Linked DNA regions of Oryzias latipes. The protein of the gene in region 1 purifies or fractionates together with the protein of each later gene. This does not show direct contact. Links are inferred from orthologs where the notes say so. Each region holds a gene or a part of one and is shown in the gene's direction. Other genes may lie near its edges.

Region 1 (8,220 bases):
GTCTAGTGGGTCTAGATGACCCAACTCCCAATGTTAAAGTGCCTAGGATAGCACAAGGGTTAAAGTAATTTTCTATAGGGACTTTCATCTCTTCCCAAAATGTGTGTATACATTTGCATTCCCAAGTAAGGAAGTATGTTCCTAGCATTTCCATACATTTGGGGCAAACATCCAGTATATTTTTGTTATACATATTCAAATCTGCTGCCGATATATTATATAGATATAGATTGTTTTTGGAGATCTTCTTTCAAAGCATTTACTTTATACTGTGAACCTTCGTTTGAATTAGACAAAAACAGATTATAAAACTCAGAAATGGCGCCTTTTTTGGAACTGTCTCTCAACATAAATTTTTTCTAAAATAGAACATGGTGGTTTATTGAGGATCTTCTGTGTTTTTCTTAAAAAGTTTTCTGACCTGGAGAAATTTATAAAAATGCTTTTTACTCAACTCATATTTAGTTTTTAACTCTTCAAATGACATCATTACATCAGAATGTGGAATATATAAGTCCGAGATGGTGGAAAGACCCTTTGCTGCCCATATTTTAAAGGTGGCAGCCGCTCTTCCAAGGGTGAAGAATTTGTTCCCCCAAATTGGGCTGTATTGTGACAGAGGTTGAGTTTGGTTCATGTGTTTAATAATTGGGTTCTTTGTCTCTTTGCGTAGCTTTTTTGAGGTGTTTGAATTAAGAAATAACAGGAGGGGCAGCTTTAGATCCTGGGATTCCATTTCAACCCAATGAGGAGTGTTTTTGACAGTAAAATGAAACATTATAGATCTAATCTGTGCAGCCCAGTGGTACCATTCAATGTTTGGAATTTTTAGTCCCCCTCTGTCAAAGGGAAGAAATAGTAATGTCAAACAGAGTTTTGCTTTTTTGTTATTCCATACGAACCTAGTGAAAATTCTCTTTCGTTTTGAAAATAAGTCTAGAGGTGGTGGCAGAGGTATGTTTTGAAACAGATAAATTAGTTTGGGGATTACACTCATCTTTAATATATGTATTCTTCCCATAATTGATATTGGTAGTGTCATCCATTTCTCTATGGAACCGTTTATCTTTTCCAGTTAAAGGATCATAATTTGATTCTACTACCTGTTCTAGTCTTGATCTGATATTGATTCCCAAATATTTAAAATTTTCAACAACATTAAATTGAATTGTCGGGCCCCACCTTTGCCAAATAGGGGGGTCCGGTTAAATTGCTACACCCAAAAGATTCAGGACCAGGGAAAGAGCGCCACACAGAAAACCCAAGGAACAATTGTTTTTTAAACTGCAATAATTTAATCCAATAAAAACATGCAGCCACAACACGACAAAGCCCGAACGGTTAAAACCTAAATAACTAAGACCAAATGTTTAAAAAGGTAGTAAAAACAGTAAAAACTTGAAAGAGGGACCTCATAAAAACATTGTTAAAATAATTAAAAGAAATAGTCCATGAAACACCAGTGAGACAGGTCTTGTAGTCAGCCACAGTCTTGTCTTTGTCCACCCTTTGCAGGCGCAGTGGGGTGTTCCTCCCAACATCTACACACCGGCAGGGCTCCTCACCCTGCCTATGAGTGTACGTCGCGCTGTGGCACTCCTGTCCTGGAGAAGACTCCTACACTGACTGCAGCTCCAGCCACACAGTTTGCTCCAGTGCTGTGTCCTTCAACGGCTACCAGCTGCTCTTCCTCCTTTCTCCTGCTGCCAGTGCAGCTTTATGGGTGGGGCCATCAGCTTACTGATTGGACACACCTGGGTGTCCAATCTGGGACCCAGTCTTCATGGGGGTGAAACAACACAAAACACAAAAACCAACTCCACCATACAAGCATGCAAACAAAAATCAGAGAAGACTTCCTCCATCAAAAACAAACTTCAACACAAAAGCATGCAAAAAATGACAGGAAAAGGTTTCACCACACAACAGAATTGTTTCAGAAGTTGGGTTTTTCTTTCTTCTTCATTATGTAATAAAATAGAGGATTTTGTTTGGTTCACTCTATATCCAGAGACATCTCCATATTTTCTGATTATTTCCATTAAAGAACGAATTGACTTTTTTATTTGAGAGAGAAACACAATCACATCATCTGCATATACTGTAAAGCTATTTTGTGTTCTACTGGACCCACTCCGATTCTATGTAGCCCTGTATGGGAGTGTATTGCTATTGGTAGTGGTTCGATTGCATTGTAAATAGCATAGGTGATAATGGACACCTTTGCCTGCAGCCTTTTGTTATGTTTATTGACTGTGAAGTGTTCCTGTTTGTCAAGATTTTTGCCATGGCATTTTTGTAAATGATCTGGACCCACATTTTTAAGTTGGTTCCACATCCACATTTGTCCATGACCTTAAAGAGAAAAGGCCAATGGACCTTGTCAAAGGCCTTTTGAGCATCCAGTGCTCGTAAACCTGTTTATGCTTTATTTGTGCTATAATGAATAATATTTCAAACTCTTCTCACATTGTGAAATCCTTGCCTTGCAGATATAAATCCATTTTGGTCTCTATCAATAATGCTTGGCAATGTATTCTGTAGTTGTGTTGATAAGACTTTACAGATTATTTCAAGGTCAGGTTATTGGTCTAAAATTTTCACATTTGTTTGAAGGTTTTCCAGGTTTTTCTTCCATGATTTTTGATCTTCACTGGTGTAAACAGATTCATGAAATCCTCTTCACCTTTATCCACCTCTGTCATGGTAGGAATAACACGCCAATGTAAGGGTGGGGTCATCTGGACCCCACAAGATACCACAAGAGTTATTGATACAAATTAGTATCTTCATACTGATTGTAAGTTTAATGCTGTTCACTGCAAACATTCGTTGCTTGATAAAATTTTGCCTGTTAAAATCTTCAACAGTGCTTATTAGTTATTGTGTGCTGAACTTTTTAAATTTTATTACTAAGCCTCACAAAGTTAACAAAATGTTTAATTTACGCAACAACAAAAAAAAAAAAAATCAACATTTAGGGGGAGGGGGGGGGCTGGCTTTGTGACGTTCAACTTTTAAAATGTGTTTATGAATGGCTACATATTTTAATAAAACAAATTCAATATTTTATTTGTTAGCCTTTTTTCTTACCCCATAATAATTGGACGGCAATCCAAAACCGGAAGTTTACACGATGGTAAAAAATATTACTTTTTTTTTATAATTATTGTTGTTAATTGTTTTTCCTTTTTAAAACGTTATTTAGAATAGTACTTTTCTTTACTAAAGATAATTGAACAGTGGTCCAGTTATTTATTTTATTTTTAGCGTCACAGGAAAAGCAACGGTGGCGTTTAACGGTGCATTCTGGGTCCTACCCAAGATGGCTGCGCCCTTGCCGTAGTGCTGAAGCAGTGCCTCTCCGGAGAAGTTTTTAGGATTTTTTGTGATTTCTGACAGAATTATCGCGCCGAATCGGCTCGCATGGTCGCTGGCTTGTAGAGGAACAAGGCAGGACCACCGTCATCTATAAGTTTTGCTGGTGCTTAGCGTGGCTGTGGCAGACTGTCCGTGTGAAGATGGGCCTCGTCTCCAACCCCTTCCCATAGCGAAGAGCCGCGGGGAGAGGAGCCGAACATTCCCCTGCAAGCACACCCCCGTCCAGCTCGCCTTCGACGGGTTCGACCTCCTGTATCGGCTGTGGACGCTGCCCTACAACTTCCTCGCGAGGATTATTTGCGCGACCTTCTCTGTCATCGCCCGGAGAAGACGGAGAGCTTCCCCTGTCCGGGCTGATAATCCCGCCGCACCGACTCGGTATGCAGCTGCTCGCTGGGTCTGTACACCCCTTCCGTCTCGGTGTTCTGCGGGGTTCGCAGTGGATACGTTTAAGTTAGCGCTCAGAAAGCCGTGGGAGGCTGTAGGAGAAGTGACGGCGACTGGACACGGGCTGACTGAAGCGCGCGAGGACAGATAGCATTAAGCTAACTGGACCCTCCAGCTCCCGTTTGCTCCGTCAGCCTTGGGGCAGAGTTCTTCACAGCTGAGCAGCAGGCGTGTTCCCACCTAACCTGTTATGAAGACGTCATCCAGGTGTAAATCCCCCTGAGATCATACCCCTTTTTTGAACTAATGTCAAATACCTCGATGTTTATTTACTGTTAGCATGTGACGTTGTTTGTATTGTAAGAAGGGGATTTCACAGCAGAGCTTTAAACCTGACTTATAAGAACTACAGGAACTGCCTCAATGAAAGCGATGTCACTTCAGCAGAAAACGGGACTTCAGAGGCTTTCCTTCAGCCTGTAACGTCAGTGAAATCAGTTTCTGAAAGTTACTTGTTTCAGTTGGAACGGTAGTTTGGTTTTTGTGAATGAGAGAGCCAAATGAACACACATTCTGCCCTCAGAGGTTCCTGCAGAGGCAGGGAGAGGAACCAAAAGTTGAATGGACAACAGTAGATGTTTGCTGACATGCTCCTACCAGTGTTGGTCTGTGGATAAAACACCGTATCTCTCAAGCATAGAATAACTATTCATTCCTAACAGTCGCTTTGCTCTGTCTGTCATTTTAAAATTAATTGCACGTTCTTCATTTGTCTCAGAGATTTCAAAATATTTGTTGCAGGTTTCAGTGATGTTTGATTTATTTGTGGTCCATAATCCCCCTTAAAGTCCAACTGCAATCATCTTGTGATCTATTTTAAAAGTATTCCCAGTGGTCTTTTTAGTTATAATTATGCCATACTTAGCCAAAAAAACAAAAAAAAAACAGTGTTGTTTTCTAGGATGTAGTTTCTGCAGAGCAGCAGGAGTTCATTACAAATTCGCCTCTGAGTTGGAAGCGGGACTGTTGGCACAGAGCAACCCCCACCCCCTTTCCCATCATAACTGAGAGTTATCAGTTTACACGATGTCCTGCTAGCCTCACACCCCCAACCTGACATTACAGGTGCGACAAAAATGGCGAGCAATATTGAAGCCATCCAGCTGTACAGTTTGGAGCCAGATTCCAGCTCAGACGAGGAAAACTGAGCATGTACATTGACGTGATATTTTTCAAACTGCTTTTTTTTCAGTTGCTTCTGATTCACAACAATTTGAAATACTGAAAAAAATGACATTTTAAGCTGAATTTTCAATAGAAATGTTCTCCATCATTAGAAAATGCCACAAGATCATGGGATTCGGTCTTTAAAGAGTTGTGTTGTAGCTTTTTTGTTTGTGTTGTACGTCAGACTTTATAGAAACATGGTAAGTGTCTTAAAGTAAAAGATAAAAAAAAAGCCATAGAAAATGCAAATTGGGAAAAACCAAGATATCTGTTCAGAAATGAAGCATTTACAAACTTCAGGACTCTCCAAACCCAGTCCTGCTTCTTTTCCAGTCCCTCTTTTCTGTTGTTTCAAAAATGTTGGAGCATCTTGGGAGGCGATAACTGAGGAGGTTGATTATGAAGACCAACTGTTTTGCTGTAAAACAACCACAAAGACTTAGTTTTGTGTTTTTGTCACCTGGCAGGGATGATGAGTGGAAGTCACTATGGCTGGGTACCGCTGCCAAAACAAGGAATTTAATACAATTTTAAGTTCACAACTCTATTCAATTTCCAATTCAACACATTTTGATTTATTATTTATCATTTAAATAATCATTTTATCTTTAAATATGAAAAGGTGTTTTCACATAACTAGTGATTTGAGCTGAGGAAAAGTGGATTTTTTTATTAATGAGATTGTAACTTATTACGTTAAAAACAAAATGTTTTTAGCTTTATTTTGAGTAACAGTTTTCTTATAACTGAAGGTTAGCACTAACTCAAAATCCGTGTTAGTAAAATAACTACCAGACTGTCTACTAACGTTTTGGTGAAATAAAAAAAGAACTGAAAGTGGGTTTAGGGTTTTTTGAAAAAAACAAAATGCAATGAGGAAGAAGCATGGAAGTTTCACATGGTGTTAAAAATAACAAGCTTTTATCTGTTCATTGGTGAGTCCTTGGTGTCATGATGTCATGACTTACAGAATAGTTTGGATTTTCCACATTATGTTGTCTTAAATAAAAAAATCTAAAGAGGTCCCTGTACGGAACCCTGGGGTACGCCTATTGAGATGAAGTATTATATTCTATAAAACCTTAGTGTTTCTAGTCAATTATGATTTAACCACAAAAGTAGTTGGCTAGTGTTGCTCAAATCTGAGAGACAAAGATGAGTTAAATATTAGCGGACAGTTTGTGTAATAACAATGTCAAACTATTTTGTTGGTGTTGATAGAAATCCAGCAGCCTGAGGAACCACATCAGCGCGGCTAACATAAGCTCTCTCCCACAGGGCCCTCATGAAAATGGACTCGGACTTGCTTCATTCGCCGGCTGTGGGCCTGGCTGAGGAAGAGGAGGCTGACATGAATGACTGGAAGCTTCCCTTGACCTTCATGAAGAAAAGACACTTGGAGAAGATCGAAGGCTCCAAGGCGTTGGCACAGAGCTGGAGGATGAAGGACAGGGTAACTCTTTTTTTAAATTTCTTTTTATGCCTGTCTATGAAACCTCTGGAGCAGCTTTTCTGGTGCAGTCGATACGCAGAGCTGTTCAATACTCGTTTCTTGAGCTTCATGAGTCCCTCAGGGAGCTTTGTTAATGCTGAGAGAGGAAATCTGAAACGCAAGATTGGGTTTCATTTGTTTCTGCAAACGCTGTCTTTGATATTCACAATGCCAAATATGGAAGCAAAATTAAATATGTACTTATTAATACTGTCTTTCATAAAGAATTATTTAGTTTTTTTTGTATTGGATGCAATCTGCCTGGAAATAAAACACTTCTGACCTCAAACACTGGTCCCCGGGTCCCAAACTAGCACCAGTCCATGGGTCAGTTGGACCCAGTTCTAATCGACTGCACGTACATCATGCATAACTTTCATTATTATTATTCTTCGTCTTATTCTAAATGATTTCCACCACATAACCATTGTGATGCTTATTTCAGTCATCTAGAATTGGACAGCTTGATGCTGACTACCTAAATCAGATGTGTCCAGCCAATCGGGATGTGGAATCACTTGACTCAGCAGGGAGAGCTAGAAAACAGGCAGGGTTGTGGTTCTTGAGGACCACATTCTGCCAACCCTAGTACATAGTGCATTACAGCTAAATTAAAAGCAAGCTAGAAAAGTAAACAAAAAACACAATTTCTTTGTGGAGAACCAGGAACTGCTTTATTAATAGAAAATGATGAAACATGGATTTATCATTCTTTAGTGTGCAAGGTTGCGCAAATCAACCACACTAAAGCCCTGCATGTCAAAACATCACATTTTCCCATCTAAGATCCTTTGATCCTTACAGCAGAGATGCTCACAAGTTCCCTTTTTGCAAGTCTGAAGTCTTTGCATTTAATTTCAAGTTAAGTCTGAAGTCTTTGGTGGCAAATCCAAGTCAATTTAGCTGCAAGTCCAGTCTTAAAACATAAGGCTGAAGTGACTATTTCATGGTCACAAACTGCTTTTGAAGAGCTTGTTTTCGGGACAAAAAACAGGAAGTTGGTGTTTCTACAAAAGCTTTATACATTTACAAAAAAAATTGTTTTAGACTCGAGTGACGTCCTGGAGCTAAAAGAAAATAAGAACAAACAAATTGACATTGTTCACAAGTCCTAATTGTCAAGTCTTTGAGTTTGAGTCTCAAGTCAAGTCTCAAGTCTCTGCATGTAAACCGTCGGTGTGATTTAAGTCCAAGTGCCCATCTCAGCTTCATACTGATCATGTCTGAAGTTTAAGTTTGGATAAAACTTTCAATAATTTCTTGATACCAGAGCTTGATACCAGATTCATGCATTTTAAATATCAGCTCAGCCGTAACAGTTATCGTTATGTCCCAAAAACCCAGGATGTTGTTTCAGAAATCAGTTCCACTAAGGGTTTGTTTTTGACCCAGAAGGACAATGTTTAGGAAGGCACCATGTCTCTGAAGACATCCGGCTTCAGTAGGAGCAACATCTGTCAGGAGTGAATGATTTATACGTTTGGAAGTCCGAATATGTCATAAAATCTTCAACTGGAAGTCTCTTTTAATGTAAATCTGTACATTATTTATAAATTACGCTTGATGACGTTTAGCTATTAATTGCTTAGATGTTTTAATGCATGAAAGCATTATTAGAATGGGATCTGACCTCCCACTAAGAGCAATGTTGGACGTGTATTTACTTTTTTAGTTTAACGCCTAAACTGGTGCTCTGAAGTAACAAAGTCCAGCTACCAGTCTCTCAGAAGATC
Region 2 (7,952 bases), on another chromosome or scaffold:
TTTAACAGCATGCGCATACATATTTAATTGCACTTTCATTTGCTAAACTGATCTAATTATTGAAGTAAATTGAATGGAGGATTTTTAAGTGTTGAAATATCAAACAATGAGAAAAATAAATCAGATTTTATCTTGTTTAAAATAGGAAATGATCCAAAAATGTAGATATGATTTCAACATTTTATTTGTTCTGTTCTGCATCTCAACAGTCAGTCAAATTGTTTTGTCCCCACACAAACTGGGTTAATGTTTCTATCAACCCCCCCTCCCCTGTATTTAAAGACATTTTTAAACGATTTACTAACTTTGATTTTGGTTTTTTCTTCCATAAATCCCTTTTCTGTTTGTATTTTACACAAAAAAAACATCATTAGATGTTCAAATTTGAGAATTCCAGAGGAAATGTGACACGAAATCTCCTGTTGTTGATTGTAAAAGCAGAATTCTGTCCGTTTTCTGTCTTCAGATGGGGGAAAGCAGACAGTTCACCACCTCAGACGGACGGCGAGGACAGAGGCTGGAAGTGAAGCTCTTCGATGACGCCGTGTCCGGCTTCCCTCTGGTCTGGTGGGTTGAGATGCTGTGCAGCGGCCGCCTTGCGGGTTTGATTTCCGCTGACCTCTGCTTCCTTCACAGCTGGGAGAAGGAGAGCATTCAGCTTCTGCAGACGCTGATTCCCAGGGAGGCGGGTTAGTCTGTGGATTTTTTTTGTTTTTTTTGCCTTTTGTTGAAGCTTCTGGGGGGGGGGGTGCTTAACATAAATGTCTGAACTCCTCTCCAAGTGCTCTTCGTTGCCGATGCAAAGATCAGCTTTGACAGCTTTCGTGGCGGCATGGTGGCAACCGTCACCTCCAAAAGCGTCATCACTGTCAACCCCGGTAAGAAATCCCATCAGCGCTCTGTAAAAAAAAACACCCCCGTTCTCTGCTTGAAGAAAGTGTTTCCAGTGAGAAACCGAACCACTTCCTGTTTGTTTTAGACACACGAGAGGCCGGCCTGCTGTTCAGCTTCGCCAAGCAGATGTCCGAGTCCGGAGCTCTGGACCACGACGAGGCGGCCGAGGATCTGCCCGGTGGGTTCTGTCCAAAAACAATAAACATCTGTTACCCTAAAAAAAACTGAGCAAAATGCTGTTTGTTGTCATTTCCTTACCCTTCAAAATAATCTCTTTTTTAAATTAATTAGGCTGAACATGAATTACAAGTAAAACCCCACTCTGATTATCTTTTGAAGTATTTTCAAAGCGTCACAAAACTGGTTTTGTAGGACACAGTTGGTGCAGAGCCAAAGTAGTTCATATTCACCTCAGACCTGTGGGCGGGACCGTCGGTGCAAAAGCAACCCCGCCCCCCACTTTCCGTCTCCATCTGTTTACACGCTCTCCTGCTAGCTTACAGCCCCTCCCACCTCTAAGCCGTCCAGTTCAGATCCAGATTCCAGCTCAGGCGAGGAAGACAAAGACAATCCTGGATCTATCTGTCCAAAATCAGAATTTCCAACGTCACCATTTTTTTTGTCTGCTCCTGATTCAGTTAAATAAGAAATACTCAGAAACTTTAAGCTTAAATGTCTTTATACATGTCCTGCATCATCGGAAAAAGGCCACAAGAACATGTTCCAAACAGCAAAAACACCGTTTTCATGGGAGGGGGCCCTTTAAGGGATTCACTGCTGTTAGTAGGACAGTTTGTGCTTCATAAAAACAAACAAAAACACCACAAATGCTTTTGAAAAGTTTCATTTTAAAGAGTATTTGACAGAGATGCTCAATTATATCATTCATATTTAAAAGGATGTTATTATTTTCCTCTGTTGTCTTGTCTTTTTGTGTCTAATAAAAGAAAAATCACATTTGAGGTCTTTAAACTAAAATTCTAATCAGTCACTTTGTGGTGAACTCCACAACAAAGCTAAATGCTTTATTATTAAATATAATACATTTGAATAATTATTAAGAGGATCCGTAAACCAAAAGGTAAATCATTCAGACTCCATACCCGGTTGTTGATAAGAGTTGGTGTTTGTTTGTTTTTTGTGGCTTCATTTTTGCGTGTTTGTGTTTGTTTTCTGCCTGCAGTGGACTCCATCACTGACGTTTACACCGTCAACCAGCTGAAGTTGAAGGCCAAGGAGCAACCGGAGACTTTCTTCGGCCTGACTTACAGCTTCATCTCCAAGCTGGACCTGGACTCCTCTGCCTCTAAAGTCATCAAGACCCGCTGGTACGATCGCACCAAAGTCACGGCCTCCTTCTTTCCTTCCATCTGTCCGTGCTTCGATTTGGGCTTTTTTCAGCTCTAAATGTAGGTTCCTGCTGACGGCGGACATGCAGAGCTGCGGTAACCAGCTGTGTCCGGGCGGGGAGCAGCCGTTCTCAGGCACCACAGGCTTCGACCTGCTGGTGGACCTGACCGACCACACCGGCACGCTGCAGGCCTGCAGCCTCCGGGGCGCCACGGCGGAGCAGACGCTCGGCTGCTCGGTCGGTAACTCCTCAGAGGCTGAGGGGGGGGGTCAGCTCCAAACTGCTGAGATCCACAGACTTCTCTTAAATATGCTGCTGCCTGCTTCCAGACGGACGAGTTCATCCGTCTGACCGATGATCAGCGCACCGCTCTCAAGTGGAAGTTTCTTCTGGAAAGATGCAAAATATACCTGAAGGTATTCCAGCCTTCAAAAGGCATGTTTTTTTTTTTTTTGTCTTTGTGATGTGTTTTTATTGTTCATGAGATCGTCTGCCGCAGATCCTTCCCTCTGCGAGAACGAAAAGCGGCATCAGGGGGGTGATCCTGGCCTGCTCTCCGGCCGACCCAGGAGAGGTGAAGCAGCATATGTCGGCTGTTCTGCAGCAGCTTTGAACCAGCAATGCGAAGTCTGTTCTATTTACATTTGTTCTGCGCTAATTACAATGTAAACAGATGCTTCAACTGTTATTTATTTATTTATTCTTATTTATTTAACTTATTGATATAAATTGATTTATTTAAAAAAAGGCGTTAAATTGTTCCTGTTTAATAAAGTTGTGTTTTGAAAAAAAATTCTGATTTATTATCACAAAATACAATTAAAAAAGAAAAAAAAAACAAAAGCAACTGTTATAAAAAAAAGTATATTTAAAATAAAAAGAATGATGTAGATTTTATGTAGCGACAATAAATGCTTTATTTAAAGCAATTTTAACCATAAAAAAAGAAAAATATGTATTAAAATTTTGAATTCATAAAAATGATTAAAAAGAAATAAAACAATATGTTTAAATATTTTTTGACATATTACTCTGAATCATAAGGAGACATATTTGCACATTTATTGTAATGATTGCCAAATAAAAGTTGATTAATTACCTGAAAGAGTGTGGGAAAAGGCGATTTTATGATTCTACCTCTATTATGATTTATTTTTTATTATTATTATTTTACATCGTTGCATTCCTGCATTTAAACAATTTTTTTTTCAAAGCGGAACGTTTGACACACTTCTGTGTTTATCGGGGACGCGTTAGTCAGACGTACCGCAGTCGCGAATGATGGCTTCAGGAAATCTGTAAAGCGAATTCTTATCAGATTTTTAGATGTTTTCTCACATTCAGATATTTTTAAAACGGCTTTTCTTTAAAAGAGTTAACTTCAAAAAGCTTGAGCTGACGTCGTTGGCCGATCGTTTGGACCGAGTTCGTCAGATGTAACTAAGTGGACTGACGGGTTCTGGTGTTGTTTGTAACCGTGACACACTAGCGGAGAAGCATGAATGTCAACCAGGGCACGGTGGGCAGCGACCCGGTTATCCTGGCCACGGCTGGATACGATCACACAGTCCGGTTCTGGCAGGCCCACAGCGGGATCTGTACCCGGACGGTGCAGCATCAGGACTCGGTATCCTTTCCCTGGTTAGAACGGTTCGGTGAGAGCTCTCTGTTTACATGCGCTACCGCTGGCTTACAGCCGCTCACACCCCAACCTGACGAAATGGCCCCCAATTTCGGAGCTTTACTGAATTGAAAAACAAAATTATGACTTTAGTCTCGTAAAATTTTACATTTTTATTGTTGTTTATACTTTTACAAATTTATTAGTGTAATTTTTTTTTACTTTTTAATAATAATTTTACTACGGAACGGTATTATGTTAAATAAAAATAAAATACAGGTGACCTTTGCTCTAACTTGTTTGACATAATCCGTTTTTGTTTTGTTTTTGTTTGATTCACCACACACACTAAAAATAAAACCATCAACTGTTAATTAAATGCAATAGGCTTAATATTTTACAGCATTATTCTCATACATAATATGTATTTTGTTGTAGAAAAATGCTATAAAAGGCATATATATGCTAAATACCTCAAAAACGCGACTTTCGGAGTGGGCCTTTAACTCGTCATTTCAGCAAGTGAATTCCCTTGAAGTGACCCCGGACAGAAGCATGATCGCCGCCGCAGGTCAGTCCAAACTCTCCCATTTGAAGGCTGCGCGGCGTTTCACTGCGCGTTCCTCCTCTTCCTCCTGCAGGGTATCAGCACATCCGCATGTACGACCTGAACTCCAACAACCCAAACCCCGTCATCAACTACGACGGAGTCAGCAAGAACATCACCTCCGTGGGCTTCCATGAGGACGGACGCTGGATGTACACCGGAGGAGAGGACTGCATGGCTCGCATATGGGACCTAAGGTACGGCGGTTCACCTCCACCGCACACCCCGGCAGAAATCCACTCTGCTGTTATCAACCCTCCTCCTTTCAGGTCAAGAAACCTGCAGTGTCAGAGGATCTTCCAAGTAAACGCTCCCATCAACTGTGTGTGTCTTCATCCCAATCAGGTATCCTCAAAGCTGCACAGGTGTTTGATGTGGATTTATCTGTAGATTTGTCAGCGTTTTGTGATTTTTCTTTTAGGCGGAGCTGATTGTTGGGGATCAGAGTGGCGTGATTCACATCTGGGACCTGAAAACGGACCACAACGAACAGCTGATTCCAGAGCCAGAAGTCTCGGTGAACTCTGTCCACATCGACCCCGATGCCAGCTACATGGCAGCCGTCAACAGCTCGGTGCGTCCCCAAACTGAACATGGGACGCAAAAACTGGGGTTGGAGAGAAACTAGAGTGAGGTTCCTGTTCCCCCCCCCAACAGGGAAACTGTTACGTGTGGAACCTGGCTGGAGGGATGGGAGACGAAGTGACGCAGCTCATTCCAAAGACGAAGATCCCGGCGCACAAACGATACTCGCTGCGCTGCAAGTTCAGCCCCGACTCCACGTGAGGCTTTTTGTTGTTTCTGCCTGACGTGAGGCCAAACAGAAAAAAAACCTCATTGATGTTTCTCCTTGAATGTCTCCAGACTACTGGCCACCTGCTCAGCGGATCAGACCTGCAAGATCTGGAGGACGTCCAACTTCTCCCTGATGACGGAGCTGAGCATCAAAAGCAACAACCCCGGGGAGACGTCCCGAGGCTGGATGTGGGACTGCGCCTTCTCCGGAGACTCGCAGTACATCGTTACAGGTGCGTACCTTCACCTTTGGGTCTGTCCCCTTGTCCCGCTGAGTTTTTAAAGTTAAAAATGGCATGTTTTAGCAAACTTTAATATAAAATTAAAGCCGTAAACGGCGTTGCATGACCTGCAGAGGACACTGCCCCCTTTTGAACCGCCTTCACCCTCCCCTTCTGCCAGTCTGGTCACAAATTCATGAAAGAGAACACTTTTATTCAAAAGTGCGGCTTTTCTGATGGTTTTATCTCCATGGCAACCATTTCAGTTTTTGGTCACCGCGGGGTGACGAACAGGTTTCGGTCATTTTTAGAAGAATCTGCAAAAGTAGATTTTTGGATTTCCTTAGCAACGTAGGATTTTTGTTAACCACACCCACATTTCTTATATGTTCATATTGTTTGTCATATCGTTTGGTTCAGCTTGAGCAGAGGTGCGCTCCATTTTCTCAATATTCCGGTAAAAAATGCGCCCACAACAGGAAATCGCCACTTTTGTGAACTCGCCGTTCAAAATCCACAAACTTTATTTCCAAAATTCCAATTAGTTTCCCAAGGACACCGCTCCAGGAGTCAGGAGGCGATTCTTAGGAGGAGTTTAAATTTGTAGCTGGGACTAAACGGGATAAATATGTATTTTTTTACAAAATTCAAGATGGCAGCTTCTTCCCGAGGTCAAAGGTCAATGAAACTTCAGCTCTTGTTGAAGACTTTTGAATTGTAAATTGTAGAATAAATTGTAGACGAATGTGAAAATCACCAAACGTCACTCTCTGCCACACAGTGACCACCAAGCCGTGGCACCTGTGGCCATCCCATAATAATTAAAAAAACTTCCTTCCAATCTGGTCGTCGTAGTCCAGGATTATTGCGGGGCGGAGTAATAATCCCGGTTTTTATCATTATCCAGCTGTTTCTTTAATGTTAGGAATCAGTTGAAGCAGAAAAATGGAGGTAAAGTCGCGTTTTTGTTCCGCAGCGTCTTCAGACAATCTCGCTCGTCTGTGGTGCGTCGAGACCGGCGAAATCAAGAGGGAGTACAGCGGCCACCAGAAGGCCGTGGTGTGTCTGGCCTTCAACGACAGCGTGCTCGGCTGAAGAGGACGACGGACGCCGTCAGCCGGAGCTGAACCCGCTGCTCAGTTTTGTCCAAATGAAACCCGGAATCGTTCGGCACAAAAATTCAAATCCAGAGGGTGACCGTTTTATTTTTTTTTAATTTTGTTGTGAATCTGTTAGTAAGAAGGAACATTTCCCAGGATATTTATTAAAAGCAAAAGGAACGCTGTCATTCCCGCTTCCCGCCTGGAGGAGGCGCTGCGGAGCTGCTTTCTCATATCAAGTGAAGAGAAATAAAAGCTGTTCAGAAAATCTGCTTTCAAATAAAGAGAAACGAAACCAAACAGTGTACATTTTATTTGACAAAACATCATAACATTGTGAGTACAAAAAGTCACCAGAGAGGAGGAAAGTTGACAGCTTGACTAGCTGGTTCTCAGGATGGACAGGGAACCAGGAAGGTTGATGGATTTTTGGGGAGGAGAAGCAGAAGAAAAGGGAAAAGTTTAGCTTTGCAGGGAGGCAGCGGCGTCACTCGGGCAGGTAGTAGAAGCACACGGAGACGCAGATGTTGCTGGGAAAGCAGATGTCGATGCAGAAGTAAACCAGCCGCTGTTTGCTGGGACCTGCAGCCGAGAAACCAGAAGCAAATATTGCATCTTTTTCTGCAACGGCTGCCTTCATATCAGTCTGTGGTGTTTGCTCCGAGTATCTCAGGTGAGGAAAAGCAGCCAGAGGGGCGGGGCCAGTGATGTCAATCTGGTTTGAAGGTCTACATGTTCCTTTGTTATACTTTCTTTTTAGGAGATTTGAAACATTTCTTTGCCTTGCTACTCTAAAGACAGCTGATTACTTTTGTCACACCAATGTCCTGAAGAAATAACACACACAAAAAAAAAACCCAAATAAAGGGCTAAAGTTGAGAAATTGCTGGGAGGAGTCTAGAAAAGGTCAGCAGCAGCTTTATTGTCTCTCTAACATCTCTGATACAAACTCTAAGCTTTATCGAGTTTGACGTTTTTGGGACTATTTTTTGTGGCGGATTACTATTTATTTGATTCATTTCATAGTTGTTTGGCAGGAAAAAACGACCAAACCACAGTTTGTGTTAGCTTTGATGTGGTTTCAGTTTTTCTAGAAACTAGTGGATAAAAATAAATTAATTAAAAGCTGCGTGCGACCCCACCCCTTTTGACACGCCCTCATTGGCTGAGCAATCGCCCCTCCCCCTCCCCTTTTTTATTTTCAAAATGACGGCCTTTCTGTTGGTTTTATTTCCATAGCAACCATTTTGTTTTTTGGTCGCTGGTGGTTGACGAACAGATTTATGTCGTTTTTAGAAGAATCTACTAAAGTACGTTTTTGGATTTCCTTGGCAACACAGGTTTTCTGTTAACCCCGCCCACA

The links. The genes of interacting proteins can lie anywhere in the genome.
Region 2: the proteins of rptor (region 1) and mlst8 purify together in Homo sapiens (affinity purification with western blotting; 15 studies listed by BioGRID and IntAct, with this or other methods). This does not show direct contact. The link is inferred for Oryzias latipes from reciprocal best matches to the Homo sapiens genes RPTOR and MLST8.

What each region holds. Positions count from the first base shown.
Region 1 is NC_019859.2:4,709,435-4,717,654, reverse strand, and holds the start of rptor (regulatory-associated protein of mTOR), read left to right. Parts: upstream 1-3,297; 5' UTR 3,298-3,761; coding exon 3,762-3,778; intron 3,779-3,863; exon of another isoform or gene 3,864-4,018; coding exon of another isoform or gene 4,019-4,035; intron 4,036-6,271; exon of another isoform or gene 6,272-6,273; coding exon 6,274-6,448; intron 6,449-8,220. UniProt on the Homo sapiens protein: Component of the mechanistic target of rapamycin complex 1 (mTORC1), an evolutionarily conserved central nutrient sensor that stimulates anabolic reactions and macromolecule biosynthesis to promote cellular biomass generation and growth.
Region 2 is NC_019877.2:3,129,414-3,137,365, reverse strand, and holds mlst8 (target of rapamycin complex subunit LST8), read left to right. Parts: upstream 1-3,494; 5' UTR 3,495-3,743; coding exon 3,744-3,872; intron 3,873-4,385; coding exon 4,386-4,437; intron 4,438-4,507; coding exon 4,508-4,670; intron 4,671-4,742; coding exon 4,743-4,818; intron 4,819-4,894; coding exon 4,895-5,047; intron 5,048-5,130; coding exon 5,131-5,255; intron 5,256-5,337; coding exon 5,338-5,501; intron 5,502-6,465; coding exon 6,466-6,584; 3' UTR 6,585-6,889; downstream 6,890-7,952. Other genes in the region: meiob (meiosis-specific with OB domain-containing protein), read left to right, coding at 467-567, 637-689, 783-878, 980-1,072, 2,078-2,222, 2,296-2,482, 2,575-2,661, 2,745-2,858; bricd5 (BRICHOS domain-containing protein 5), read right to left, coding at 7,077-7,171.